Linked DNA regions of Lepisosteus oculatus. The protein of the gene in region 1 binds, or shares a complex with, the protein of each later gene. Links are inferred from orthologs where the notes say so. Each region holds a gene or a part of one and is shown on either strand. Other genes may lie near its edges.

Region 1 (7,973 bases):
ATGCTACAGTGTTAGAGATAAATTCCAATGTACAGTACACAACACCAGCTGTCTCCCATGGTGTTGAAAACAATCACAAATATTCAATAGCTTTTTACTACTTTGCTGTCCATATTCCTCTTGAAAATATCATACATATTGCTTGGCTATTTTAGTTCCCAAAAGGTAAGATTTAAATTGAATGGTAAATTAAGGTGGACAAACAGTAACTGAGTACTACGACCGCCTATCATACAATAAATTACATATCATAAAAGCACGGTAAAAACACATACAGTACTTCAAAGCACAATTGACACACAGATTCTGCAAGTAAATGATCTGTAAATCAACAGATCTGTAACTCTGTCTAAAACCTTCATTTAAATTTATGCACATTAAATTCAAGTTAATGTCATGGAATATCCTCCATGGGTAGGTAGGAGTGTGCAGGTGAAAAGGTTAGTTTTTCAACATGGTGAAACTCCTTCGCACAAAGTCAGACTAAACCTTAATTACTTAACTCAGGAAGAAGAACAGGTTTTGAAAGCGATCAGCCGGTTATACCAGTCTATCCCCCACTGAGATATGATGAGTCTGGCTTGACGGGAGAATGAAATGGGTATACAAGTATGCTTTGAGAGATGATTATAACTGAATAGACAAAAGTAGAAGATACATTGCTGGTACACTGTAAGAAACATTTATTGGACAATATTAGCAGCTCGGATTGCTGACAAGGTGGGGAGGGGTGGTGGGGTATTTTAATAAGAAACATTTGAAGTAAATACTAGAAAAATGTATCCTATTTCCTCCGTGGTATTTTATTTGGAATGGGTCAAAAATAACACACATAATATACCGTATATAAATACAGTATGCATATTTATGCAAGCACAGAAGCTAGAATAATGTTCATGCTTAGCGATCAGAAAATGCAAATGTCACCTACTTGTTTACCTATGCACCAGAGCTTTTCTAAAGCACGGCGTCGTGTGCTATTAATAACAGTATGTAAATCTAAAGTTTGTTTTCAGTAATTTGTCAAGCTTAGTGTATTTATTTTGGATGAAAAACTATAAATAGTAAATTATTTTGCTCAGTAATCCCAGGTCTTCATGAAATGTCTGTTAACATTATCCTTTATGGGCTTTGTCTGGTGTTGATTTTTCATTTGTACAGTATGTAAATAGTGAATGTGAAGCACTATTTGCACAGGTCCTGCTCTAATATTTTGAAGATTGTTATGTTAAAGAAATTCATGATACGGCATTTGATTGGAAGTGGAACTACTGGCAGGATGGTGGAAATGTGTCAGCAGGGAGCAGGGAAGAGATGGGAGCATACATCTCCCAACATGCAAGGTTTCATGGCCCAAGCTTTAGCAAGCAGAGCCACATCATATTAAATTCATGATCCAGGCAGTTTACGATGTCCAACTTAGTCCTTCTAGTCTGTAATGTTCAACAATATGCCCATTGTGCCAAGGACAAGGGATGCTGGAGCACATCCTAAACCCTTGGAGAAGGACACTATCGATGTCGTCGCGGCCAGGTGCAGAAGGCCTTAGCCGACACTATTAGCAGGGGTGTCAACAGCAATCAGCATCAGAGCCATTTAGCAGCCACATCCGCTGTCCAAAGTATCAGCAGGTCTCCTGGCAACGGTGGGAGATTGGCAGCTGAAGGTCAACCTAGGGAGCATAGTGACCAAACATAGCTAAGCATTGTATTGCAGGTGGTCATGCTAGAGCTACGAGCTAGTTTCCTTGGGAGACAGGATGGAGGAGGCCAGTTAACGGAAAAGAGCCAAATACGAAGACCTCCGTGTCTTATGAAGAAGATATGAAGATATTCATAACTATGAAGAAGCCAAGAATTTGCTTCTTAAATTTCAGTTTTGTTTTTTATATTCTCTCTCCAAATATCCAAATACGCAAATCAGATCACCTCGGTGCTTGTGTGACCAATAAGGTCCTCATCATTGCAGCACGTTATCCTAAGTCTACAGGATATAACTTGCAGAAAAGACTCAAGTTTAAAAAATTTCAAGTAGGTACTGTAGCTGTGTCAGCATGCGTAGGCTGCAAAGGAACAAGTAAAGGTTTATTGCATGCTGAAAAGAGAAGAAAGAAAACACAATGTTTCGCCTCACACGCGAAGACGACTTCAAAGCCTAAACGTTTTTCCTTTCACGTTTAAAGAAGCTCCCTCTGTTGACCAAAAAATAAACATGAAAAATAAGAACAGTAAATGTTCATTTACTAGTCAGCATCCAACAGCAATTGTGAATGTGTAATATTCTAATATTCTTTGTTAATTAAACATGCAAAATTATTTTTCGTGATATTCTCTTATCGAACACGAATTATGCAAAGAAATGTTTCCTCTTTAATAGTTTGAGCTACTGTACATCAAAACACAGGACATTTCCTGCCCCCTTGTGGCTTTAACTGGTATAGTTTAAGAACTAACTTTCTTGGTTCTTTTGGTTCCCAATTTGCTGGATCAAATTTTCTTTCCTTTACACAGTTATTGTAATTTAATTTGCAATTAATTTCACGAATAAAATAATTTTATGGCAATCAATGATTTTTCGGTAAGTGTGATAAGAGGATTTTTCATCTGAAAACGAGTTACTACTCCCCGGTGCCAGAATTGGGTCTTGGGGTAAGTTTCTTTTGAAAAGACCATTACAGTTCAATCTGTGTGATTACCTTAGGAAGGGGGGCAAATAATATTAAAAGGTCAGTAAGTTAATAGTGATCAGTTTACTCAACGTGTGTGTAGTTACTATATAAAGTAATATATTCACTCTTAAAAGCACATTTCCTTAACTTATTAAGAGAAAAAAGCTAATCGCTTACACAAATAAGTAACTGTAATGGATTAATTGTTAAAGAAATTTTCCTCAACATATGTTAAAGCAAGTAAATGGAGCGGCGTAGCTGGTGGATTTCCCGAGAGCCTACACAGTTAGGGAAGTGTTGTGTCTCTGCTATCTGCGCCCTGTTCTTTAAAGCAAAATTTAGTTGAGAAGCAAAAAACAATTGCGAGTAGTACAGGTAGAAACCTGCACCTTACTGTTTCTCCACCACTTGCTAGAGTGCTGTAACAGCGCTATCAACAGTATCGTCTGCTTTGTCAGGAACCCTAGGTAGTAGAAACCTGTCTGGGATGACGTCGTAAAGCTTGAGTCCACAGATAGCTGGTCATGTGCGAGTGGGGCCGAGAAACTGAAGGGGCTGAAATTAATCTACAGCACTTGAAGATATTTCCACAAAATGTAACGAAGCTGAAAGAGGTGTGGGTGTTTATCCAATCCTCTGATAACGGCAGGACCAATAACCTTTACGTCTGCGTACCCTGGCTTTAGATGAAGATATTTGTGCATTGAAAGCCCTATTAAGCAGCACTGACACGCAAGACTTTTTGCCATTGCGAAGTATCTCATTTTATTTCCCTGGGCATTGTGCTGAAGGCCATACTGTACATGGACGGGAAACAATCCATTTTTGGTGATACAGGTGTATTGTATGTATTGTACCCTAGTCATTCTCTATTCTTAGTCTCTTCAAGCAAGAATTAACACTCACATTTCTTCCATTCTAATTTATTACAAGACAGAAGCACTTTTTTTTCCTCAAGCAATATTACTTCCCAGTCACATCTCCTAGTTTAGTGTGGCTCATGAGCTCATAAAAGTTTGAGAAAATGAACTGTTCTGGAAAAAACGTTCCCTATGTACTAAAAGAAGGTGCTTCTTAAATTATTATTAAGGATAACATGAAGTGCGTGATCCTCAAAGTTTCATGGAGATGCTTATTTCACTCGAAAACACTGATCTTAAAAAGCCGAAGAATTAAAAAAAAAACAATCAGAAAAAATAACACTAAGTGAATTCATATTCCCATAACACTGGAATTAAAGTTGTAGACTGTGCTTCGTATCTTCAAAATACAGTAAAGGATACGCTTCTTAAAAATGATAAACACTGAATTGCTACAGCTTCAATTAAAAACTTCTCTAATTTGACATCATGTAAAACATACAGGAATCTGTTGCACAGTTCTTAATTGCTGTTATTACTAATTAAAGTAGATGTCAGTGCAATCCAATCTCAGACCTACAGTATTTGACACTTTCCATCTTAATCATAAAAAAAATAAAGAAGATATATGGGAACATACACATAAAGTACTCAACGTTTCAGTTTTTAAAGTTGAGTTTCAGGCAACAGACTCACAATGCAAAAGCTTTTGGCCATGCCTCTTATTCTTTTTGAAGGCCTACAATATGTGATTCACATAGGATTAGAGCATTTTTATCCAAAATTACCTGGGACTGTTGGTTAATCTTGATTGTCTCTGGCTACAGGCATCTCCTTCACAGGTTTATACATCGTTATTCGGTTGTCCAAACAATCTAATATCCTTTTATATTCAATAGTTACACCGGACAGACGCATCATATGGACTACTGCTGTACATTCAATTTTAGGCGAATTAGCTGGTTTCATGGAGTACAATTGGGTTTGCAACGCTATTTCTAATTAATATTATAATATATGAATTAATATTACAAAATTATTTATATAAAATGAACCAATTCATTTTTTTCAGTGATTGTATAATAATCTCATTCAGTTATACATTTTAAAGCGCTAGGTAAATGACTCTTTCATATTGCGTTTACGCTACCACTTTCTCAGTAAAATCTGTCAATAACTCAACTACACATTTCTTAGTACTTCAAAACTATTGAATACTGTACATTCCTCCTCCCTCCCTTTTCGACGCTCAATAAATACATGTTCCAGTATTTTCTGTAATCTGCACTGCTGTGGAAAAGGGCTTCACTCGCCCAACTGCTAAAAGACATTATTGATGGTCGATTGCACCAATCCGTCGCCGAGGTAAGCGGTACTTCCTGTCGTAATAACCAATCAGAAAACCCCTAATTGGAAAATCTCAACCCAAGGTTGTCAGCAAACGAGAGGGGGAGGGGAAATTTTAATGGTAGTCAATGTGGACATACCTTTCTAAACCTGAATTTATTTTGATTCGTAGTTTGTTTCTACTTCCTTAAGGTAAATTGACTTGATCTTTTTTGTACTTGGTTGTCCATTATTACAGTCTTTTGTACGTGTAAGTAATGTGTTATTTTGCGTAAGAGCGACGGGTGACAAGAAGTAGCTTTTCTGAACTTATTATTGATTTTTCTGCGAAGTTGACAGCATGTTGACCGGCTTCTGAAAGAAATGTAAAAGTTGTTTGTTTTCCGTAATACGTACAGTATGTTAGTAAATCGGTAGTGACCCTAAGCGTACGAACTTTTCTTTTATTTAGAGGAGGTAGTTAGCAGAAGCGCTGCGGAAGTCTAACTCAGCCAGTACAGTCATGGGAAGCCATGATCCGCTCAGCGGCTTTTCCAAAATAACAGGTATTTAGAAAAAAAGGCAGTACTGTAAGTGTGTGAAACACTTATTTGTCTTTTAAATAGTCTTGTAATGGCGATCGTCGAAGCAGGATCATCGCGTTGCTTTTGACGGGACCGTGGTCAAGTTTATAAGCGAAGTTTGTCAGAAATGAAAAGTCGAGGCCTGCGAACAAAGTGTATTTTTTAATGTACTTAGCTCAGTCAGGAAGTGGAAATAACAGACATGTTGATCGTCTTCATCACGGCGTGCTGGAGTATGTTCCGCCACTGTCAATCAATCGAACAGAAATGAAAGAATGGGACTGCGTATTTTACGTTATTCTTTTCTTAAAAATAAAAAAAATGTATCTTTTGGAAATTAATGATTTCCAGTATAGTTCGTAAACGCAGCCAGAACAACAGTTAGGGTTGTAATCTAGTGAAAGAAAAATACAAACAGCTATTAACGGCAAATAATCACAAAACGTAGTATATGGAAAAACTAATGTATATTGAGAGTTAACGTGACTTATTCGGCGTTTGTGCCGTAGGATCAATGCAAACAGTTGGACAGCTGCCAAGTTTTTGTATCACCCTTAGTCCTATTTACAATGTATTTCACGATCAACGTGTTATTGTTTAAATGTTTCCTTTACCTGTTTACGCTTGGATTGACATGTTCAGCTGCACGCCTAAAAGGGCACTATTTCGCTATCAAGCTTGCTGGGTTGGAGAAGAGGCGTGACACTCAGTTGTCCACATGAATAGCTTATTGTCATGTAAATCAGAGCACGCTTCCCATCTCTGTGGTACACGGGTGGCTTATGACCTCTGGGTGATGGCTTTGGTGTAAACCTGACGATCCCCCTCCTGCTATCAAAAACAAAACCGGATTAATGAAAATTTTTCCAGGGCGTTCAAAGATAAGAATTAAAATTGCCATCTGTAAAACCCTCGTTATCAGTCTTGGTACTGGAAAACCTGTGTGTTTGCTGACTCCAGTTCCAGCTGTGCTGGTAATTACCAGTGCTAATTGCTATCAGAATTGCTCTGCTTGAAGACTTAGGCTTTTTTTCTGAAGTCAGGCCTTAGTTTAAGAACAAAACCTAGTACAGTTGTTTTCAGGCTTCATCTTGAGTAACCCCTGTGTTATCTGGTTTTGCTTTAGCTAGGTTAATAATGACAGGTTATTTAATTTCATTTTTCTGTTTGAGGTTTTTTTTTTAATTGGCTTTCAGCTCTTAAATAGCCGAGATTTGTAATTAGCACGAGCCCTGTCCTAATTAGTGAGTTTTAGCACTGTCCTCTTTCAGGTCCGTTATCTGAAATATAAGCCATTGGATTTAAACAGAAGGGAAAACATATACTGTGGGAATTGTGTGATACCATAACATTAAGGGCTGTTTAGTCAGAAATAAAGAGAGTAATTGCTTAACAGGCAAGTTGAGGAGAGGCTACATGAAGTTCTGTATGTGGAAGGCATTTCCGCATGATTAATGCACATTAATTAGGGTGTTTTTGAAAAGACAGCCTGAGTGCAGAAATAAAGTCGAGAGCAGAAAGCAGATTAGTTACAGGCACCTCTAACAAGTCAGTAAGGTCTAAGAGGGAACAGAAGCCTACAGAGAAAGGGATACTTCAGGACCGGGACTCAGAACCATTTGCTATAGAGCAGGGGCCCAGTGGCTGGAGGGTTAGTGTGTCTGCAGGTTTTCAAGGTTTTTTTAAAGCAGCAGCATCCCCTGAGGAGCAGGAGAAACTGTTGAATTGGTCCAGTTAAGCCAGTAATCAGCTGGTTTAATTGTCAGTCAGAATGCAGACCTGCCGATACTTCTGATGACCTGTACTGGATGTCACTGGTGTAGAATGAAACCGGTTTCCAGTTGCATTTGTTTTAAATTATATAGATGGTCATATAACAGAGTAGTGTGCATTTTATGTGTCATAACAGTTTTTATTCTAATATTGATAAGTAATTGCATTATTATTTTTCTAAATAACAGCATGCAATGTTTCATACATGTTAGGGTTTCTCTCTACTATATTCAGAGACTGGTATATGGCTGGATAAATCCAACCAAATTCCAGTCTTTTTGAATTTGGATGACTTTTGATTTTGTGTTCATTGTGGTCACATTTCCTGTCAGTTTTCATGCTGTTAATGCTGTGCTGTAAGCATGTTAAGATACTGCAAAAAACAAACAAACTTGTACGCAGACGCTGTTAAGTTTTTTTAACGCATTAAAAAGTAAGTTGTGACAATATTTCTCGGCTGCTTGATGTACATAACTGTGTTAATTTTTGTGTTGTAGTTATACTAGTTACATATGAATTTTACATCTAGTCGCAAAATGTCGTGAGAGGGCCATTGATAATCATTTCTTCTTTATTATTTTTTATACTTAGACCATTTAACTTTTGTGCTTTTATATACAGTTGCTTCAGTTTGTATTTGTACACCCCCCAATTGTAATATTACTGAATAGCCACTGTAAAGATGTAGGAGCACCTATGAAGCTCATGATAAAACAAAAAAAATGTTTTCTGATTTTCATTTGAAGAGTATATATACAGCGG
Region 2 (7,873 bases), on another chromosome or scaffold:
AGTCTTCATGTGGTTGGCAGAGATGGCAATGATGATGTACAGAACAGAGAAGAGATTTTATTTTGGTTTGGTTTGGTTTTTTGGTTTTTTTAACTTTCGTCTTTTCTTTGATTTGCTTAATTTAACGAAGATAAAAGTTATGAATACAGGGGTCTGGATTCAAAAGTTTCATCTTTGAAGTTCACAAGGTCAACTGAATGTACATGGTGCCACACACAAGATGACCAACTCGTAATATTTGTAACTATGTGGCAGGCTGCCACTATCACACCCACTGGAGGGGCCACAGCTGCATGTTCCACAGTTGCAAAGTGGAAGTTTAAATAGACAAGGTGATTGAAGTTTATTAGTGAGTGATCGGGTGCGCATGGGAATGCAACGATGTCTGCGTGCCTCCGTGCTGTTTGTGACACGCAGTCCCACTATTGACCCTGTCACACTTTAAAATAAACAACTTGTGTGTCAATGTAGACAAAGCAAAATATGGATAGCTCAACTATGAATAGCATGCGTAGGCTGCAAAGGAATAGGTAAAGGTTTATTCTGTGCTGAAAGGAAAAGGAATGCTGTAACCTGAAGAGGGCTCCACAGGCAAAACTTTGTCTATTCTTTTATAGCACAATGAAAAGACAAGAAGCAGCGATGTGATCTGTCTTTCCTTACCATCGAGTCGCACAAGCGTTTTCCAAACATATAGATTCAGTGAAAGGTGAGAAAGAAGAACGGGGCATCAATGCCGTTAGTGGTTCACCTGACTTCACTCATTTTAGTGCACAGGTCCTATTTACTCATGCATACTGGCTGAAAGCATGCCATGGAGAAAGCTGAAGGAAAGGCACTGACCTTCCTTGCCCTTAGTGACGTGTCATTTATGTAACCATTTCTAAACAAGCAATTTAGCTAACCACGCCGAACTAGCAAACTGATCCCCAACCATACTGAAAATAGTTAACATTATATCCCAAAAAAGCTTTTCTCAAACTCAAAACAGGTTTTTCCAGAGAAGCAGCGGGTGACATTGATTAGAAGGCTAATGCCTGAGTTAAACGACCTACATCGGCAAAAAACTAACCTGATCTTTTCAGAGTGACTGGTATTGCCAAGGCTCAGCATCAATGAGATAGAACACAAATTGAGAATGGCACAGAGACGACTAATCATCTCCCGTGTGATTTACATGTGGTGTTTCAGATTACGCATTACAACCTGAAACAGTGGGATGGCAAGATCCTGACAAGGGTCTCCAGGTTTGTCACTTGGATGTCAAAAGCATCCACTTACTTTCTCCTCAATGAAACCAATGTACCTGCCAAAATCTGCTGAACCAGGGCAATGGATATTGGTTTCTGTCAATTTCACATAGGAGAATATAAATAAGAAAATAATTGGAGATTCCAAAATAAAAAAGTAAAAGTTACACACCATGTGTCATACTGACTACTTATTCTTGCAAAAATAGCATCTGAAGAGACTTCTCAAACTACAGTGTCAGGGAATATGCACAGAGGCGGCTGATTAGTGTCACACGAAGCTGAGAACTCTATGAGGTGGTCTATATCTAGGGTAAGCCTAACATGCTGTACCTCCTCTCCTCATTTTCTCTTTCAGGTGTTACCCTGTTTGTAATGAAATATTTATGACAGCACAGAACAATCTAAGAAGAACAAACAAAGAACTGCATCAGAAACCAATAGCAAGTTGTAGACATACACCTCTAATTTCTAATTTGTCTCTAAATTCTTCTAACCAGACAGCCAGACGGTTTGTATTTCATTTGCTTCTATTGCAGCAGAACAGATTTGTTATTCAGGAGACATCTGAGTGTAAGAAACTCAGAGTTTCTCTAAATCTTTTTGGCTCCAGGGATGCCCTGCTCTTCAGGTCCAGCATGGTGGAAACCAACGTTTATTTTTGCAAGACTTTGTTTATCATAATTAATTAAGACAAGCACCAAGGTGGCCCACAAATAAAGTCAATGTGTGCTCAACATTGTTTGCTGGGCTTGCTGGATGAGTGTTTGCACTAAGCAGGTTCCTCTTACTGTAGCAAAAGAGTTTTCATCTTGTACAAAATCTGTCAGGCAATCTGGAACATACTAGGCATGTTTTCTTAGAAGACACGGCTCCTGAATCCTGACACAGTATGCATACAGTAGCACACTACAGCATATTGTATACTGACCTTCTCCCACGCAGTTTATTATTTTTTCTCTTAAAAACAAACAAAAAGACAATATGCCAGACTGCCAGATCTTAAGAGCTGACGTCCATTTGTTCCAGCATTCCACTTGTATTGTTCCTAAACTTTCCTACTCTTTACAAAGCACAAGGCTTTTGTGCCCACTTTTGTTGCTCTGATAAGCCTCTCAAGGCAATAAACCTTCCTCTGCACTTCCCAGACTGAACCATTAAGGGGGCTTGAACTGGTCTCATCTAAACTGGTTAAAAGGTTGAGGGGGGCTCCCCAGTTGTCCAGGTGTGCTGCGTGCAGCAGCAGAACTCAAGTTGTGGAGGCCAGTCGCAGTAGGCACTCCACATGCTCTTCTGGAAGCGACCAAGGAGCAGCGTCTCTTTCTCTTTTTAATGACTACAAAACCCACCTCCCCTGCTTCCCCACAGCTCCCTCCCTCCCCTCTCTTCTTTAAAAAGAAACGGTACGCGACTCAAGGCTGGAAATAACCTTCACACGGCTTTCCCAGCTATCTCACGCATGCAGACTGCCAAGCTTTGCACACACAGAGCAACCCAGCTCTTACCCCAGCCAGCCAGCACCTACTCACCACACCGTGGACGAGGAACTCAAACAGTTTGCTTTTCGTAGCTTTGCGGGCTCCCCCGGCAGTCTCCTCTGTAGCCATTTGGTAGCCCCCTTTTTCTTTTGTTTTCCTCCTTATTCTTGCTCTCTTTCTTTCCCTTCCAACTCAACCCCCCCTACTTCACTTTCTTCCTTTTTATTCCTGCCTTTCAGAACACTCTCTCCCACTCCCTCTCTCTCTCTTTCCCCCTCTCTCCCTCTCTTGTTCTCTGTGTTTTAAGTGTGTAGCCAAGCCAAGTCCCTCTCTCTGGCTCTCACACTTTTTAGTTGAGCAGCATTTCAGAAGCCTGTGGAGGGAGGGCGGGGGTCTGACAGGGGGGTTCCGGCAGGCCCACCCTCAGGGCCCCCCACGCAGCTGTTGCATTCCATTGGTAGATAAGGGCATGCTGTGTGACTGGCTGCTGCACTCTGGTGTTTATGCACTGGCTGGAAAAGTTTGCTTTACAGTTACCCATTCCCCTTGCCAATCACTGATGACAAATGTGCAGAGCTACAGCTTGACCAAAGAGAAAGGTTTCATTCTCAAAAAGGAGAAAGAAGGCTTAAAGGGCCCAGCTTTCATTTTGCATCTCGACTTCTCAAACGCTTTTAAAGCTCTTTCCAAATGTTCAGTTTGTGCGTTTTGAAACACAAAGCAAACCAACTTGAGCAGATTGCTTTAAATCAAACATGGAAGTGAAGCTATTTAAAAAAAATTGAAACAAAGAAACAAAACCTTAAGCATGGGTTTCAGCTGCTAGCAAGGGGTGCGCTTTTAACCAAGAAAACTTCATTTAACCTCATTATCACAGGAAACAAAATGTGGACTCTTATTCCCTGTACGGCCATGTCCAAAGAACTTAACATAGAAAGCCAGGTCTTATAAAGCTCTTATGTCCACATAGACAAATCAATCCTGTACAGTTCTCTACATCTCAGTGTCTTATTTTCTAATTAAATTAGAACAGTTCCACTTGTATGCTGCAGGGAAACCCATCTCTAGTTTTCCAGAAGTGTCAGATCTGCTGGGACCTTACAGGAAAAAGGGGAGCCGAAAGAACCACCTGAAACAGAAACTGTTTGGCAGTTTCTGTACTTCAAATGCTCCCCTGCAGAAAGATTCACACCCATGAACCCGATGTGACATCCGAGTCCAGTCTTCAAGACAGCACTGCATTAAGCCCAGAACCATCTGAACGGGACTGGGATTTTCTCGGCACTAGCTCATGACTGGTCAGACTCCAACTGCTGGATGGTCTTGAGCCAATGAAAAGTCAACAGCTGCCGCCTCTGGGACCTGCCCATGAGTTTGCAGTCCTGACAGTCAACCGGTGCCAACTGTCTCTCGAAGCGTTGTGACTCACTGGCTTGGCACATGGCTTACAAGTGAGCATCAGAGGTGACCATCCGCAGTCCTGTGAGGGTGCAGGGTCCATACTGGCAAGCCAATTGAGTAATCAAATGGTGACTTCAAGCTGAGAGGGCAGTAAACTATAGTAAGAACAATATTTAAGAAAAAAGATTTGAGCATACTGTAGGTACAGCTGAGCACAGGTGAGTGTAAGTGAAAGGGAACATTAAAAACATACTACAAAACCATGACAATCAGAAATATTTACTAAGCAGCATTCCGTATGAGCCAGAGTCCAGTACTAGTGCTTAGTTGTTAAAGTGTGGAAATAACAGCGATGCTGAGCCTTTCAGAAAACCCCAAGGGATGTACAGGGGCAAGCAGGTCAGAACAGGATATACTGTAGCATTAATAACTTCATACCTCGAATACAGTTTCAGCGAAACGAGAAGATTGCAACATAGTTGAACTTCACCAGACACTGCTGAATAACAAATTGTTCTTTATACACAGAAAACTGTTCAGAGGCAATGATTTCTTATGGTTAAGAAATCGGTTATTGCAAATTAAGCAATTTAAGTTTATAATGTATCCCTTAACCATTTCAGGTTACATTAATAGCCTAAGGTTTAAGTATAATGTTCATGAAGCCTGCATTCTCTCACACTTATCCCATATATGAGTTGAAACCTAAAAGACCTAATAGACCTAATAAAGGGCACAACACCAACGTCAAAGATCTTAGGAATCATCGCCAGCACAACAGATATACATAAAATTTGTGGATCTACAGAATTTTTTAATTTACATTGAATGGTTGGTTACAATATACTTTAAAGTTATTAGAGTACATTATGACAGATGCTTTTAAATCCCTGCAACAGCCTGACCACAATTACTTCAGTATATGCTATCTTCACTGGCAGTACCTGTTTTCTAACTCATTGTCTATTTCCAATTCTGGGGGAACAGCTGTCAGGACCCATTAACTGTGGCTCGGACTGATGTCTGAGGGATGTCTTACCACTCATTCTGGGGATAATCTCCCCTTGAATAATTTGACAACTGTATTTCCAAGGCTCTACTCACAGACAGTCACTTCCCTGTTTAAACTGTAGTGTCGGAGCCAGGCTCATTTTTTCCTGCATGGTTTCAGAAAACCTCCTATACACTTCCCGCAGCGTAGAACTCTGATTCAGGTTTCGGTTGAGTGAGCTAAAGCCTTTCAGCAAATCTTAAACAGGTAATCTACCCATACTAAAAATGCTTTGTAAGTAAGAGGTTGTTTGACTCTCCTCCTCCCCAAACCCCCAATCTATGGTTTGTCTATATTTCCCACATTTTCTTCCTCCTTGTTCAGCCCCACGATGCCTGACTTCCTGAATACTTTAACATCTGTGATCCGTCTCCCCTTAAACAGTTGTAGTAAGACATTTTACTAGAAAGGCAGCCTCACAGTTATACTGTACAACTCTTCTGTAGATTATTTTCTAACTATACAGAGCCTTTCACTACAATACATTAAACAGCTTGACATCAGGAAATACATTCCTTATCAATAAATTTAATTCACACCAGTGAAGACAGCAGCCTGTTAAAACCACCACAGTTTTATGGAATAATACATTCCTCTGTGACAGGTACTCACTGTCAGTTGATCCCAAGCTATTTTTTCCCACTCAGTTTGTCTGCTGGCTTTACACAGGACTGGCATGAGAGTCTACTGCTCTTTCTTATTGTCTTTCTCCTTATTCTGCAAATAAGACGTAACTGTACACAGGTTCCCTTTACTTCCATATTACTTCATAAGAGAGGCAAGAAAAACAATTTGCAGATGAGAATTGTAATGGGCTATACCAACTGCAGTATGTTATCAAATACATGTTAATTTAATACAGTGATATATGCACACCAGACACTGAGTATTTCATGGAAAATAATATTGAGCTCCTCGTGACAAAAGAGTAGCACAGTGTGTTGGCTGACAGACTGCTACTCAGGGGTACTATACTGTAACTACATACCGTATGTCTGCCAAATGTCCAATCTGGGAAAAGAAAGTTTTCTGTCATGGGATAATTACAACATGGAACATTTCCAGGAATATCCAATTCAAGAAAAGGTTACTATTTTCACATACACACACCAAGACTGAGCACACAGACATTCACATACTGTATACAAACAAAACACACAAGCACAAATGTACACCCCTACCAGAGACACAAAGATGCACACAGATGTATAGAGATGTACACAGACTAAAAAAGAGCACATGATCACAGTCTGCGTCCCCTGTGGACTGCATGTTGAGCCCACAGCTGGCTGGAATGCCTGTGAACACTTCCTCATCTGAAGTCTCTTTGTTTCACAACAGTTGTTCTCACAATGGTCATGCCCAGGCTCCTCAGGAGTCTCGGGGCTGCGGGTGACCCCGTGTCTTGGGAAAGGAACTCGGTAGTGTCGGTTCACTGATAGTTTTCCACGCAAACACTGAGAAACTCCACTCTAGCTTTGAGACTGACAAATCTCCTCAGTCTGTGTAAAAAGAAAACTTCCCCTTGCCGAGCTGTAAGTCTAAGTGAAGTTAATCATAATTCTGAAGACAGGCCCAAGCGACTGTGTTACTTGATGGTCAGAACATAAGAATCACGTCTGATGTCCTCACATCCAACAAATACTTAAGACTACTTTTAATTGGAGCAGATCAATATTCTTTCAGAATCCCACCACACAAACTAATAAAGTGTATTCATTGCCTGACAAATGAAATAATGCATACACAGCAAGAACCATGCAATCGCCTGAAGATCTCCCAGTGACTTAAAAAAGAGCATCCAGTGAGAATAACCGAAGACCCCTGGTGGGTGGAATTAGGAGGTTGTCACTGCAAGTCACCTTGGGACAGGAGGTTCACGTTCTACAGTACCAAGATCTGGCCTCCAGATGGCAGCGATAGTTTGTACCGTATACATTTTTTGGTTTACAAACTCATAACACAAGACAAACTTCACCATAAGTAAAAAAGAAAAACCAGGTGTCACAACTGGCACAGGAAATTCCACTGGGGACCCAGATTACAAATTAAGTACTTGGAAATGACATAATGTGTAACTATATAAAAGCTTTAGTGTGCAAATTAGATCTTTTCTGCACTTCAGAGAGGAGCTGGAGAAATGCTGGTGTGGGTGTGCGAGAGACAAGATCTCCATAAAGTCTCAGAAAAAGGTGATTTTATTCATCTGTTCTCAGCCTTCCATGGTTTTCAAAAGCCTGAAGAGCATCTTGTGACAAAAGCAGTGCTCTTGTTGTTTAAGCACATGAAGGTCTTCTTTCTAGCAACTCAAGAGTGAACTCTCTCTTCCTGTCGTGTGCGCCACAAAACAAAGCCACAGCTCCTGGTCCTCACTACGACAACAAACAGCAGTCATGTTCTTGTATTGTGCAAAGTGACACTGTGCTGTAGGAGCTCCTGTCCTTTGGATGGCATGTAAAACCCAGGTCCTGACTATCTGGTTGTTAAAAACCGCATGGCACTTTACAAAATAACTGGGGTGTCAGCCCAGATGTCCTGGCTGAATTCCACTCTGAGCCCCAATAATCTAAGGTACAGTAGGTAGGTCCCTTTTCAGGCCATAAAGACCCATGGGGAATGAGGTGCAAGGGCCACCATTTTCCTTGACCATCTGACATTGGAAATGGAGGTGAGGTGGTCAGCATCACACTCCA
Region 3 (7,568 bases), on another chromosome or scaffold:
TTTTATACTAATATTATGTTATGTTTTTTGTGACATTTGATTTGTTCAGTTACTACACTTACATTGCCATACATCAGAGTTCCAGTACATCTTTAGTGAAATTTTTTTTGTAAAAAGCATGTGTTCAAGCACAACCTGAAGAAATATCTCCTCTCCTGTTAAACGGGACTGTAAATAAGCACTGAAATTCCAGCAAAATGATTTAGGTTTGTTATTCTTTATTACTAATAGTAATACTAGTAATAATAGTACTACTATTTTAAAACACTGAGTCATAGAACATGCAGGAAACTGAGAACTGATTTATTTGTTATTGTATTTAAGGCATTATGGGTTGAAATAATGAACCTGTAATGGGTGTAAAATGAATGAATCATATGCCAGGACTCTGTGGTGAACATGAGTGTTAACGTCCTCTGATAACAGGTACAGTGTGAACTGGTAAGGGATGGTGATTCAGTCTTATGAAATGGAGAGGCTTGGGACTGAGATAATACAGTATGAACTATGAAGGGTGGCGATCTATCATGATGAAGGCGGGGGGTCGGGGTAGGGAGTTGGGTGGCTGTTGCACGCAGTGGTCTTAAAGCCGCCGAGCTCCAGCCGATTCTCCGGACTCACCAAAGCGGGAAGGTCCTCTTCTTGTCCCGGCCCATGCGATTGCGGTTGATGGTGGTGGAGCAGGGCACAGCGTCCAGGTGGTGGGAGCTGTTGGGGAGCGTGGGCACCCACTGGCTGTTCCGCTTCGCCTTCTGCTCCCTGGGCAGAACATGTGAGAAAAAGAACCTAGAGCTTTCGCGGAGGATTACAACGATATAAAATATATTTTACCTGGACATACTGAGTGTCATTTGGTCATTATGAAAAGGGCAATTGCCCTTTTTTATTGTGCACCCGCTGAATCTGTAACCCCCCCATTAGTTTTAAGGCTTGATTCTCTGACAATGGTTCCTGCTCCGGCTCAGGAGCTCGTGACGGATATGACCCTCCCAACACGTTCAAGTGCCCAGTGCCTGGTGAGATCTAGCACTGCACCGATGAGTGGCGCCGTTCTCACCAATGTCACCGCAAAAACAAATCACAGACGTCACCGCTGCATCGAAAGGCCCCTGGCAGCACGGCAGCTCTGCCACCTATGAAATCTTAGTAACCGCTGCTTAACCTGCGCTCCAAGAAAGCACTTTTACTGGTTAAGCAACTCAAGTTCTGGTAATAAAAAATAACATTAAATAACAACATGATGTTAAAAATTCCAAAACATTACATCATTTGCATATATATGAAATCTCATTTAGCACTGCACACTTTAATTGATCCAGACTAAGGAGGTTTCATGCATTCTTCATGGAATCGCAAGATGATAAATGATACAAGATGGGACATGCTTAATTTGAAATGATTTGTGCTGCACTGGTATGGATGCTCCAGACTGATTTTCTGTTGATCTAATTCATAAACCTGCATGACATTTTTGGATTCACCACTGAATCGCAGTAATTACCAAGTTGTGCTTTGTAACATTACCTGAGGTAGGCAGGTGGCTCAGTGCTGATGGAGACTGCCTTGTACTTCTCATCGTTTCCTTCCAAGATCTCCTCAACTTCAGATGCTTTCAGCAGAGTCACACTGGTGGCTAAAGTTGTGTAACCGTGATCTAACACAAAGAAAACACTGAAGATACTGCTGTCCAAAAGTAGAACTTTCGGATTTACTAGCTCTGGGGAGAATGTTTCTGATCATTAAAGTGATTGCGACTCACACTTCTTGAACTTATTGGTAAATTATCATCGCTGATAATAATGCTGCTATTGGGCAACAGGAGTACTTGAAAGTGATAAAGACTTGACACTCACCGTGTGATGATGCTACAATTTTCTTCCTCTCCTCAACAGAAGCCAGCCTCCGCCACAGTGAAGGGTACCTCTTGTACAGTGAGCCTCTGAACATCCGCAAGTAGTTTCCTACCTAGGAAACGAAACCAAAGAGTCAAATAGCAGTGTCCCTTAAAGTAGATGAACCTGAGGAAATACAATAATTTGATTTTTTCTCAGCGGGTTAGATGTTAACATTGAACATGACTTTCTATGATTAACTGGAAATTATGAATAAATACTTACAAACACCTCTAGTTACTAACACCTCTATTTCGTTGCCAATTAAATATATAAGCCAACCAATAACATGTCATACAACCACATACTATATTTTCAGAATTAAGGAATGTCTTACACTGACAAGTTCAAGAACTTCACTATTTTGTCTTTAACAGAAAAGATTACTTTAAGTATCTAAGTAACTGTACTTTGACAAAATCAGCCCAAACAATTTAAGCAGAAACTATATGGTTACCCAGGCATTTAAAACTGAAAAAATGATCATCGCGGATCGATTACCATTCGAAAACGCCAGGTTAACCGAATGACCTCATCTAGTTTATAATCTTTGTAAATTCTACTCAAACAAGAAAACCCATTTCCAATAAATGACTATATTAATAAGACATTCAAATTCGTGTAAATCTGCATTTGTCAGTTTGACATATGTGACATCCGAGATACTGGTAATGAAAAACGTGCTGGAGAAAAATGTTTACGAAGACATTGCCAGATAAAGTGGATTCTATCATTATCTTCAGCATCTAGGTGACCGTATGGTGTTTCTTGTTGACTTTACGAGAACCAATACGCCCTTTCTAATTAATTTAGGAACATTTGCTCACAACACTAATCAAATGCTACCATAATAGTGTGAGTTATTTTAAAAACAAGATCGTTTTAGTTCAATTTTCTGAATTGAAGAGAAATAGAAATAGCGCTTACCCAACTAAGCCAGTTCATTCAGTAAGCCCAGACAGCAAAACACAATGAAACCGTACCCCAGGTTGACTTTAAACACTAATATCACAGCTCTAAAAAACGCTAGAAGCAAAAGGATTACAGAACCCGATTCAAGAACACCCCGTTAATAAAATACATACCTCTGAACCAATCATGTAAAATTCCCCATCTTCTTCAAGTTGAAATTTCACCGGCTTCTGCCCAAACGTTTTACTTAACGCCATCTTGGCTGTAACAAAAGCACCACAATGCGCATGCGACTATTACAGCAAGCGATCCGCGCATGCGTTGTTAAAAAGTCAGTGGAAACGGGTGTCTCCTGTTCTTGCTGTAGCGCCACCAACAGGAGCGAATCGTTAGCGCAGTGCATTGAAGGCTCAGCCTCGCGTAGACCTCTGACATCTAAATACCGTGGGCTTTCTGAAAATTTCTTCTTAATGAAAACAATGTTCATGCCAAACACAAACTGTTTGCTTTGTATTCAAACACTCCATGCGTCTGGAAACAATGCATAGTAAAACAGCTTGTGATGTGGGCAACAGCTTTATAATTTGGGTGCAAGTACATCCTGCATTTCCCACTGCCCTACTTGCTAATACTAATACATTTTCTAACAACTTCATTGAATTCAAGGTAACAGGAGAGCCGGAACCTGTCCCAGCAAGCAATAGGCGCAAGACAGGATACACCCTGGACAGGACACCAGTCCTGGGCAGAACCAGACAGCATTAGACACACTAGGGGCAGTTTTCCTAGAAACCAATTAACCTACTAGTATGTTATTGGACTGTGGCAGGAAACTGCAATGGGAAACTCGGTCCTTTTTACCTCTCCGACCCTGATAAACCATTGAAAACCACCACCTTGTATCCTAGTCAAACTAAGAAAACTTCCATTGCCCCAGTTGTACAAGCCAACATCTGTTAATTCCTTAAATGAGCTAAATGTAGATTTGTTAAAGGCACAGAGTTCCTGGCTCTTTTTGCTCTAAGGATAGCTGCGGTTTTGAGCATTAAAAGCAGTTTAGACTGAAAGGATGACAATAATTTGGATTATTGAGTTCAATTTCAATTTTATTGTAATGCTCCGCAGTAATTTGTGTAATTATACTTTTTTATAGACAGTTGAGAACACGAGGGATTGAAATTAAAAGAGGGTTTTTTTTTACTAACAATGTCAAATGTCTAAAGCTACATACATAAAGCATAAGACACCAAAGATAGCACTTTTAATACAGAATATAGTTTTGTAGTCTTACAAATGTTCAGTAGGACATTTTCACATTTATGGGTATTAAAATGAAATTTGTAGTTTCCCTTATAAAACTGATACACCAGCGTCCTCATTCAGTCATACCCCTGCTATTTTGGGGAGAATAAAGAAGAAAAATGGTGATGAAGCTCATGAAAAAGGTACAGTATGAGCTATATTTCCTTTCAATTCAGCAAGTGATCAGTAAATCTTGACAATTTAGCGACTTTCATTTCCTTTAGTTTTCCACAGGTATTTGCTTTCCTCTGAGATCAGAAATGATACATCAGAGCACTTGTCTTGTACTTTGGAGCACTCCAGGTTTCTTTCATCATTCTGTAATTTTTCTGCACTGCGTGAACTGGAAAATGAGACAAGGCTCCAAAAGCACAGGCCAGTGTAAGTTATGCCCCATGTCTTACAGCTGCAGTGAACAGACTCCTTAATTAATGTTAGCAATCCACTTTTTGTCAGGGGAAGCACAAAATTAATATAGGATTTGGATATAAATAATTTCTTTGGAAAAGTGAGGATATTGGCAGGCCAACAAAAACAGGAATTTCGTATGAAAGAAAAATAAAGAACTGCTGTGTCCAAAGACACTTTTTTTGCTCAGTGTCAACTTGGTCTTCACTCTTGGCAGGACTTGTCTCACAGTTTCTCGAAACCGTGGAACCATCAATTCCATTTCTGACGGAGCATAACATCGTCCTGCAGAGGAACTCTGTCCCTTCTGCTTGCTGTGAGCCTTGTCTTACATTTTCACAGAGGAAACAAGATAAGGAACAGTCTGGGGGCAGACACATTAATTATCTCAACCAGAGTCAGTACAAAATGAAACAGCATCTATACGGCTGTTTTAAGCTACGAAAAGATCTTTGATCTCCATTACTGTGCATTCATGTTTTGTATGCTTGGAGAATAATATATAGGTAGCCTTGGACCTCTGCAACATGAGTGTCTGGAAAGAGGGAAATGAACCTTCTTATATTGTTGCTCATATGCTATGCTTATAGTTCTGGTTCTCAGAGACTCATGAGTAATGGGGTCAGTTATTTTGGATACTTTGCTATTTTTATATAAACTCTGCAGTTCTTTGACTGAGAAAATAGATTTTAGCCATATTTCCATTACTCTGTAAATTATTTTGTTGACTCTAGCAGTAAGGGTGTAGAGGTATCCACTTAGACAGAAAGACACATCTAGATGTAAGTAAAGATATTCGTTTATAGGATGTGACACAATTTACAGTACCCTTAGGTGGAAAAAGTGTTGTGCTGGCTTGCAAAAGGGATATCCTCAATATATGTAATTACAGATACTGCAAAAGATTAATCAATAATCAAAGGATTTCTGTTAATGACTAACTCAGAAATAGCTACAATAGAGCAGTAATAACTGCCAGCTGGTGTAAATTTACATTTTATAGTGTTCTTTTTAACTGAACCTTCAGGTATGAATGGCTTTAGATGAAATGGCTTAACCAATAAGAGTTTACAATTATTGTATACCTAATATATAAAAAAGAGCCACACCACAACGGATATATGAAAGATTAAAGACATGGTTTATGTCACTTATCCCCAGGATTAATGAGGGAGCATCTGGAAATGCTTATTTTATCTGAGTTTTTTATGCTTCTGTTTTGCTTTGTTTAAAATCGCTTTAAGACTAAGAACTGTGGCTTTGGGCCAAAGTCAATCGTTTTAAAAATAAACTAGGTCTCCTAGTTGTTTGTGGTTCAGAAGGTAGTGATGCTGCTGGAGGTCAACGATAATAGTACAAAACTGTGGAAAGAAGAAAGGGATTCTGTCCATAATTTGAAATTGACCTTGATATAGACAACAGAACAAACAGACAAGGAGTAGGTTGCTTGCATTCTTCCTGTTATGTCCAGAGCATTCAATATTAGCAAAAATGAAATAATTGCTTTCAGAAGTTAATTACACTCATACATTTCAGAGCACGGGTGTTCAAACGCATACAATCTGATTCCAGACAAATGCTGATACAATCTCCCATTTGATGGAAATTTGGAAATGAAAAATGAACTGCTTGCAAAACACATATAAAGGGAACAAAATAGACGGCAGAACTTTCAAAGTACTGGAACTGATTAGAAACAAGGAAGGCCTAAAGCTCTGGGCCCTGACCGTTTCAGACAAAAATAGGTTCAAAAAGGCCTACGCAAATTACAAGAGAGCATACACTGTCATGTTTATGATATAAACCTTGTTTGCTCAAAAAGGGAGAGATAGCATTTCTCAGGGAGCCTGATGACTAGACAATAATATCTTTGACTTTAAATCTCTTTGCTGGTAAATTCTTTCCAGCAGGAGTCTCATTAAAAGATGCAACCCTCATTCTGGCTTTTATTAACAGTCTCTCTACATTTTGTAAGACTGTGTTTTACTATAGTCTCAAAATGGGGCTGGAAATGTAACATGTTTGTTGTTGTTTGATTTTTATGGTGGGGGACATCAACAAATGCTTGATCTTACAGTAAACTAGTCCTACTTCGAAATATGTTTTTTCATATTTACATTTTATAACATATAATGTAGTCAATTATGTTTTTAACAAGTGCAGATTTGTTTGGAAGGAAATGGCAGAGAATAAAGAAACTGTTTAGCTCATGATAAAGTACTGTCTTTTTAAGTGCAGACAGAAAGCATTTTCTAAAGCTGGCTTTCAACTTTGTATACATTAAAGTACAATTAAAGATGTTCCATGCACTTTTCTCAGTAACCAAAACTTTAATTACTCCAGAGGAAAGGTCTCTATTTCTGTAATTATATCACAGAAGGATTCCACAGAGTACAAAGACTCTTTGGAATGTTTCTACAAGATTGTGCCTTCTGTGTTTATGAACCTTAGGTACATCAATGTAGCTGTTATCTCAAATGCCAGAGGGCAGTGGAGAGTAACTGCTGAAATATTGTCATAAACCGATTGAACAGTTTTCCAACAATCCCTATTTTTTTCCAGGCATTTATATTCTGAACCATCTCGCCATTTTCTATCCAGTTCACGGTTGAGCGGGAAAGCTGGAGCCTAGTTCGACAAACAGGGCGCGCAAGGCAGGGTATACACTGGACAAGACACCAGTCCATCGCAGGGCCACACACAGACACAAACAGACACACTCACACTCACACCAGGGCCAATTTTCCCAGAAGCCAGTTAGCCAACCAGTATGTCTTTGGGCTCTAGGAGGAAACATGAACCAGCAAACATACAAACTGAGGCAGATTGCTCCCCAAGTCCGGAACTGAACCCAAACCCCAGTTTTGAGACAGTTATGCAATGCTCGTTCACAGAAGGCTTAGCAACTTCTAGACTGTTACCATTAGGTTTCAGAAGGGTTGGGTCTATTCAGCACTGAGATTGGGGGTTGCTGCTGTGAGTAGAGTTGGTAGACCAGTAGGTGGTGCTCTTCCCTGTAGATGAGAATTTCCGGACCAGTGTCACATTATGGTT
Region 4 (8,085 bases), on another chromosome or scaffold:
TTCATTATACCATCAGCTGACAGGAAGCTGTCTGACTTACCTGACACTGGCTCGTGTGTGTGTGTGTGTGTGTGTGTGTGTGTGTGTGTGTGCGTGTTTGTGTGTGTGTGTGTGTGCGTCGACACCCCTCCCCACTCAGGCACAGGTGTCCCCCTTGCTCTCAGACTCTCCTCTCCCAGTCGGTGCTCAGCTGAAATGGGGTGTGGGGGGAAATAAGGCAGACTGCACCCCACTGTCCAAATCTCTTTTCCCTGGGCCTCAGGATTCCACTATATAGGAAGTCAGAGACAGATCAGTGGCTCTGTGGCTCAGGATCTGAGCCTGTGGCCAGAGGGTTGCTGGTTCAAATCCTGTAGCTGGCAGAGGAATCCTATTCTGTTGCGCCCCTGAGCAACTGCTCCACAGGTGCTGTACAACGGCTGACCCTGAGGTGACCCCAAGCTGACCCCAGGCTTGTCTCTCTGTGTCTGTGTCTCATGGAGAGCAAGCTGGGGTGTGCGAAAAGATGAATTCCTGATGCAAGTAATTGTACAGGGCTAATAAAGTTATGTTATGAAGTCAGAAAAAAATAAAAGGCTGTTTAATAATGAGAGCTTTGTTAATATGGGAGTCGGCTGCCAAGGCCAACAAACTTAATTTCTTTAATAACTCATTGCAATTTTCGGGGAGTGGGCCGTCCTAGTCCTCCAGCGCCTCTGCTCTTGTTCCTCGCAGTTACCAAGGCAACCAACATCTGTGACGAACACTGGAGCTGGGTAACAAGCTGCAATAAAAAACTTCAAATTAAAGATGCGGATTTAACTTTCCTGTGAGCTGTCGATGATATTTCCTGAGGACACACGGCTTCTTAATTTATTGCCTCTTACCCAACTTGGGCCAACACCTGCAGGTTTTGTTAAATCGGCTCTAAGATAGACAATTTCTAGAAACTAATTTCACGCAATTAAGAAGATAAATCACTCCGAGGAGCAGTGGGAGTGTGACGCCCTGTGTGGAACAAAGTGTTTTCAACAAAGTAGTTGAACCAGCAGCTCAAAAGTATAGCTCATAGAGTAAACTGCAGTTACCTTAGTGAGGATTACTGAAGCCTGCACCTCACTCCAGAGATCAGTGGCCCTCTGGCGCCCCCTCTCAGCTAGGTTGAAGACGTACAGGTGCACCAGCTCTCCAGGGACAGCCCAGGTCTTATCAAAGGCAAGGACAGTCCACAGTAAGGGCACACAGTCAATACAGCCTGAACTGTAGTTTGAGAACTGGTAGTGTGGATCTGTTTAAGGGATTATAAGGCTCTACATTTAACATTTATTCTTTATCTACCTTAGGCAGGGAGTGGTGACCCTGTGGCTAAGGAACTGCGCCTGTGGCTGGAGGGTTGTAGGTTCAAATCCTGTAGTTGGCAGGGGAATCCTACTCTGTTGGGCCCCTGAGCAAGGCCCTTAACCCCAGCTGCTCCAGGGGTGCTGTATAGACGGCTGACCCTGCACTCTGACCCCAAACTTCTCTCTCCCCATCTGTGTGTCTCATGGAGAGCAAGCTGGGGTCTGCGAAAAGATAAATTCCTAATGCAATAAATTGTATACGGCCAATAAAGTGATCTGATCTAATCTCATGTTGCTGCAGAGAGAGAATGCTGTCGCATGTGGTGGTTAATTCTATGTTTTGTGCTTTTTGTGTCCCTCGGTGGCCTTGCTCAAGTCCTGTGTGTGTGTCTGTGTGCGTGTGTGTGCCTGTGTGCGTTGTAGGCAATACCGAAACCACAGAGAAGGTTCGCTGGCATGGCTCCAGAGGGAAAAATGATTAAAAACAATGTGTAGGAGAAACCCAAGACTGTACCTGTGGCAATTATTTCCACTGAGCAGTGCCAAACAATGTAGCCTAGACATCAGCATGCAGCCAGTATCGAGGGTGTGATCAGAGCACAGCCGTCTGTAAACAGACACCCGATTGAGCGAGCAGCCCTGTTCCCTCTCCCCTGGGGACACTGGGTGCTCCCCACTGGGGGTCACACATGCTCTCTGCTGCAGCTGGCATGAGCTCAGGCGGAGCAATCAGGCGGAGCTCAGGACTGTCCAGCATTGTGTGGACAGTGCAGCCCACAGACGAGAGGCTGGCTTGTTTTTTTGGTTTGGTTTTTCAATTGTTCTTAATATACAAACAAATGAGTTAGACCCTTATCAACAGTATGAGGTTGTGTGGTGTTAGGGGTCACATTAAATACTATGTTTATATGCTGAAAGATTTCTGTAAACCAATTAATTGAGCATATTTTTGATATGGAATAAGGAACCTGAGTATAGCTTAAAAGAATTAGAAAATTCTTTAAATCCCATAAGAGTTTTTTTTAGTCCACGCGTATGTATGTACAATTTTGCCAACATGAGAATGTCATTTAACACTATACAAACTTCTTTGTTTGAATCCAAAACACTAAGAACAATGTCCTTAAAAGTTAGATTTACACAAATATTACTATTATTTAACCAAGAACACACAGAGTACCAGAAAGCTGCTGAATGCTGACACGAGAAAAAAAATGTGATTAGTTGTTTCAAGATGGAATTCACCAAATGTACAGTACAGGTGTTACAGTCAAAGTGAAACCTTTTTTTTAGAAGTTCCTTAGAGGGATATACGTTGTTCAGTAATATACGTTGTTCAGCCTCTAGAGACAAGCCAGCGTCTGGGTTTTGACAGCATGGCTGAGTAGCCTGTTCCAGTCTCCCCCACAAGCACTTCACTGCAGTTCAGCTCCTTAGGTTTGTGTTTCACTGCTGTTTCCAGGCAGGCCCACAGGGTGGAAGGCCTCTGTGTATTTTGAAAGCTCGTATCAGGTTCCCTTATAGTCTTCTTTGTTCCAGACTTGAATGAACAGTGTTAAGGGTTGTGGCACAGAACAATGGGTTACGGCATTGGATTTGTAACTGGAAGGCAGTGGGGCTGAGCCCCTGGTGCAGACGTTCCTCTTGGGCCCTTCTGCACGGCTCCTTGTACCTGTGCCTGCAGACCACAAGGCTGTGTAATGATGTAACGTGTAATGTAATGTAAATAATGGTGTAACAACCAATGGTGATGCAACGATCAATAATCATGTAATGACCAATGATGATGTAATGCTCAATAATGATGTCATGACCGTTGATGGCATATGCTCTTCATCAGCTTAGTGCTGCTGAAAGTGGGAAGAGTTCTGGCCTGATGAACTTCTAAGCTGGAGGAATGGACATAACCAGTAATTACACTGCTGTTCAGGACTGTAGGGAGGCAGGCAGCGTGGGGATGTGGGCAGGTGGTTAAGGGCAAATCCAGTCAAATGTTCACTGAAACTCAGTGTGATTGTGCAGTGTGTGGCGCGGGGGTGCAATGTTCTTATTGATCAGCACCGGTACAACCCAGGCCACCATTCAGGATCTTGGCACTCCCATTGAGCTGCAGGTGCACAGTCTCTCTGAAGCGAGATTTCAGTCTGGGACAACCTGTCCTTTCTGGAAAGAAAAGGGAAGAAAAATGGGAAAAACCTGTTCCTTAGTGCTCCCACGGATAAGCGGACAATCAGCGTCAGAGCCGGAACAGGCTTCAGCGATGACTCATCAGGGGAGATCCTCAAACAGGAGGCAGTGAACAGACTACAGCACGTGGTAACATCTGGCAGGCTTGGAGACTCTGGTGTGCGAATCCAGCCTTAATGACCACTAGCCAAACAAAGGATCGATAATGGCCAATCACAGTTTAAATTTTTAATTTTGAAGCATGTTAGAATTTAATTGCTTAAAAGAACTGTATACAGTGTTGTAATACAGTTAATTAAAAAAAACTTGTTTCAGGTCTTTCCTCTGACCCTCTTATCTAATGTAAAGGTTCTTTTGAGGGACAAGAGACATTATTATTCATAATAATAATTGCTTACTTATATAGCGCTTTTCTGGACACTCCACTCAAAGCGCTTTACAGGTAATGGGGATCCCCTCCACCACCCCCAGTGTGCAGCCCCACCTGGATGATGCACCAGTACTCTAACCACACACCAGCTCTCAGTGGGGAGGAGAGCAGAGTGCTGAAGCCAGTTCAGAGATGGAGATTATTAGGAGGCCATGATTGGTAAGGGCCAATGGGAAATTTGGCCAGGACACTGAGGTAACACCCTACTCTTTTTAAGAAATGCCCTGGGATTTTTAATGACCACAGAAAGTTGGGAGCTCGGTTTTACGTCTCATCCAAAGGACATTATTGTTCATGATGGCCCCTAATTCCCTTCAGGAGTTTGATATATTTATCGTATATACTGACAGTGACGGTGGCTTTCACTGGGTAGGGCTTAGCAAATGAAAGGAAAAAACAACAGCACCTGAATTATAATAATAAACATTAGGACTCAACTGAATTTCTCTCTATATATACATCCTTTCATGTTTAAAGAAATCAAAATAGGAATGAAGACAGGACAATTTTTAAGATCACATTTTAACAACTGATTTCTAAAGGCAAAGACAGAAAATGATTTAAATGTTGTAGTGTTGACACACTCAGTCCCCTCTGAAATCCAGCACGCCGTGGCCTACGTGAAGCTTCAATTTTTTATTTTTCCAATCTCCCTTGTCCCCGGACCTGCAGTGTCACCCAGGTGAGGCAGGACAGTGCGGGATGACGTGAGACCCCTTCCAAGTGTACAGCGCCCTGCGACCCTTTAGAATGAGAAACCCTGCAGTAGAGCCCGTTCTTATTTTTAAGTATTATTAGCTAAGCATTTGAAAAAGCATTTGAAAAATTCTTCATTATCGATTTAAAAAAACAAAAATTCTCCAGTGTATTTCTCACACAATCCATAACATGGACTTCACGCAAATTCTATCTGAGAGTCAAGAGCGGCACTTTCGAAAAACAAAAGAACGTTAAATCAAAGCTCAGTTAGTATTGTCAAAAACATATATATATAATGAAATATAAAATACAAATTATTTTTCTTAGTCTTTTAATTAAGATTTTTTTTATTTAATTCGCCTCTCTCGCCCCTCGTAGATCTCCTACCTATCTCTCCGGGCCGGTTTGAAACAGCGAATCTCCCGAGTTTAATCGAAGGTTAGCGTGGGGGAGGCAGAGGAAGTGGTGCGAGCGAACAAAGGCTGTGTGGGGGTGAGTGTGTTTTAGGTTCATTTTCACCGTTTTCTACAAAATGTCCAAGTGAAAACTGGCCAGCAAGTGACCCAAAAGTAACCACATCCCAGGCGTTGTGCTGCTGTGCGTGACCATCGACATAGTTTGGCGTATTGGTTTATCTCCATCCCTGAGCCGCCGGAATGTCTGCCGCCATTCATTTGGTGTTGCTGCAGAACATCTGTCATCTTATGGCCTGTTGTTTAATTTGCTTTTAGTTTGATTTTTGTTTACTTGTTAGTATCCAGAGCCCTTTAGAGCCGGCGTTCATCCAAGATATTGTTTGTAGGGGTCAGGAAGATTAGTGTGCCGGTAGAACTCGAGGTTTTCTTTGTTATTGTGAGGCCTTGTGTGTACAGACAACGAGACGGGTCAGTGAGCAGATGTATACAAGCACAAGTCTCTTGAGCGGTGATATCCTCTTTGCAAGGAATGAGCTGTTCAGAGTAAGATCGGCACAGTGTGTTGTACAGTGCTGTGATGAACGTGTCGTTCTCTGGTGTAATAATAATAATTATTCAGGTGTTACTGACAGAACTGCATGTCTCTCTCGTGTTTGTGTTGTAAAGTCTGCTTTATCATATTTTCTTTGCTAGTGAGAGAAAAGCGCCTTTATTTATTGTATATGTATCTGGGCTGCTTTGAGGCTTTGAAATGTTGTAGTACTTTGCAACGAAACAGCTGCCACTGCACAGAACCGTGACTTGGCATCATTGGCGTCTCTAATCAGACTGGCAGGATTGGTTATCATGAGTAGCTCAATATCTCCGTATCCATACCAAACAGTTCAACATGCTGTATTATTTTCTTTTCCTTTTTTTGTTCTAAAAAGATTTATTTATTACAGAACCAATGACCGGAATAGCCTGATATCCTCCATCCATCATCCAAGATGTCAAGTAAGGAAAATTAAATTTCAGTTCATGTGGTTTGATTGTAGTATCAGAAGAGTACAGGTCTCCCTGTCGCCTCCAGTCTCCCCTCCCTGCTGGCCTTTCCAGGCTTGTCCAGAGCTCCAGTCCAGTTCAGAAACTCAGCATTTTCACTGAGCAGGCATTACTCTTGGCCCGCAGGAAAACGTTTTGCTTTTTCTGTCTAAGCAGGACGATGTGCTGTTTGCCAGAACACAAAATGGTAGAAATAAAATCCACATAAATTATTTTTGCCGTGTTCCAAGTTCAGCATTCACAGAGTAGTCCCGCGTTTACAAAAACACCATGGGTCTCTTAGAGCTTGTTTGTAAAAAACAGATTTTTAATTTTAAAATCCCCTTTAATTAATTTTGTTCTGTCCTTTGTCGTCCGTTGTTTTGCGGACAAAAAGAGACCAGGAAGAGTTCAAGAGGGGTGTAACCGGTTTATAAAAGATACTGACATTGAGAATCTAATCCTGTCTTCATGCTTAACCTTTAGTTTAAATGGGCTGTGCGTTAATTTAAAAAGTTTTAGGTGAGGCTGATTTCAGTGAGCAGAAAGGAGTGTTAAAGCTCAAGTGTGTTCTCAGCAATAAACAGACATTTACTTGGCATTGGGCTGACCAGAGACTGATTCCACTTGAAGGTTTTTTTAAAACTTTTTCTGAAGGTTGCTTTGCATTAAAAAAGCTAAATAGTGACCTTGATAGTTTTCTTCAGGAATTAATCTTTCCACTAAATGGGTGAAGAATTTCATAGATAATCCTATGAAGACTTTTCCCTGTGTGTTTTGTGTGTTATGCAGGTCAGCTCTTTGGGGAATATATCTTGTTTTTAAGGTGTGAGTAGGGGGTAGTAAATGAGGTATTTTTGTTAGGGTTGCATGTGCTAATTTCTGAAACACATGGGAAGGGATAAAGGTGATTTCTAGGAGAAAGCAGCTGCTTGAATGAATACTGATAGGCCTGGAAGGACAGAAGTGCCTGGCGGGGATCCCAGCCAGAGAATATATATAGGACTGCTTGGTTTAGCTGATCCGGCTTCAAAATCAGACAGTTTTTCCATTTATTGAGATCTGGACCTAGTCCTTTGCATCGTAGTACTGATAACTGCTCCCCAGTTCAACGGGCATGGTGCCTCTTCGGAGAGTTTCGGTGGGCTGCTTGTAGCTCTGCAGGGTGATCGGTGCTAATTCAAGCAACTCTGCAGCCAGCCGCAGTGTGGGGGGGAGCCAAATCGCCCTGGGGTGTGCCCCGGTTTGCCCCATCCCCACAGGTGCGTTGTGAGCAGTGCAGTAATGGCTCCGTGCAGCTCCGTGTGTCATTAATTTCTTTCCCCTTTTCTTTCATGCAGAAAGGCCATCCTATGCCCCTCCCCCTGCCCCAGCCCCCACCACAGTAAGTATTGCAGATGCAGCACAGAGACAGACGAGGCGGCTCCTTCACTGTGCAAGGGCCTCTGAACCTTATAACAGGCTGGGATCCGGCCTTTGAGTCCGTAAGAAATGTGTTCGAACATCTCAAAGAGATGCAGTCTTCTCCCTCGTTCCTCCATAAACCACTAACAGGAGGAGGTCCCTGCAGGGCTTGAATTTTCCACACTTCATGTGCTGGTGCTGCAGGGCCAGTGAACTGTCCCCTGCAGTTACTGTACTGTGGGTGAAGCGTTCAGCTTTCAAATGCCATTAGTCCTCAGCAGACACCAGTTATGTGTGACTGTAACTCTAAAGTAATGCCTTAGCTGTGGGTATGTTTCCTGTTTGGTTGTAAGCGAAGGTCGTCCTGACGCAAGGAGTGTCAATAATGCCAATGTAGATCACTACCATTGCTGCTTTGAAAAAAAAAATGGTTAGTTGCTTTTGCATGACTCCGTATGCAGACCATATTCTTTTTGTTTTTTGGTTCGTTTTTCTCCTTTTCATTCTTTTTTCCTCCCCTCTTTGTTTCTGTCATTTCTCATTCGTGTTTTTGTCTCATTTGTTTCCATCAGCAAATGCCCAACACCCCAGGGTTTGTGGGATACAA

Evidence for each region.
Region 2: smarca2 (region 1) and smarcd3b share a complex: the UniProt entries of both Homo sapiens proteins name them as parts of the BAF complex. The link is inferred for Lepisosteus oculatus from reciprocal best matches to the Homo sapiens genes SMARCA2 and SMARCD3.
Region 3: smarca2 (region 1) and smarcb1b share a complex: the UniProt entries of both Homo sapiens proteins name them as parts of the BAF complex. The link is inferred for Lepisosteus oculatus from reciprocal best matches to the Homo sapiens genes SMARCA2 and SMARCB1.
Region 4: smarca2 (region 1) and smarce1 share a complex: the UniProt entries of both Homo sapiens proteins name them as parts of the BAF complex. The link is inferred for Lepisosteus oculatus from reciprocal best matches to the Homo sapiens genes SMARCA2 and SMARCE1.

Annotation. Positions count from the first base shown.
Region 1 is NC_090698.1:22,301,444-22,309,416, reverse strand, and holds the start of smarca2 (probable global transcription activator SNF2L2), read left to right. Parts: upstream 1-4,953; 5' UTR 4,954-5,067; intron 5,068-5,334; exon of another isoform or gene 5,335-5,420; intron 5,421-7,973. UniProt on the Homo sapiens protein: ATPase involved in transcriptional activation and repression of select genes by chromatin remodeling (alteration of DNA-nucleosome topology).
Region 2 is NC_090701.1:29,339,725-29,347,597, forward strand, and holds the start of smarcd3b (SWI/SNF-related matrix-associated actin-dependent regulator of chromatin subfamily D member 3b), read right to left. Parts: upstream 3,093-7,873; 5' UTR 2,858-3,092; coding exon 2,780-2,857; intron 1-2,779. UniProt on the Homo sapiens protein: Involved in transcriptional activation and repression of select genes by chromatin remodeling (alteration of DNA-nucleosome topology).
Region 3 is NC_090717.1:9,611,271-9,618,838, forward strand, and holds the start of smarcb1b (SWI/SNF-related matrix-associated actin-dependent regulator of chromatin subfamily B member 1b), read right to left. Parts: upstream 3,093-7,568; 5' UTR 3,062-3,092; coding exon 2,978-3,061; intron 1,966-2,977; coding exon 1,854-1,965; intron 1,655-1,853; coding exon 1,525-1,654; intron 760-1,524; coding exon 622-759; intron 1-621.
Region 4 is NC_090723.1:9,906,805-9,914,889, reverse strand, and holds the start of smarce1 (SWI/SNF-related matrix-associated actin-dependent regulator of chromatin subfamily E member 1), read left to right. Parts: upstream 1-5,037; 5' UTR 5,038-5,127; intron 5,128-5,995; 5' UTR 5,996-6,040; coding exon 6,041-6,047; intron 6,048-7,414; coding exon 7,415-7,458; intron 7,459-8,050; coding exon 8,051-8,085. UniProt on the Homo sapiens protein: Involved in transcriptional activation and repression of select genes by chromatin remodeling (alteration of DNA-nucleosome topology).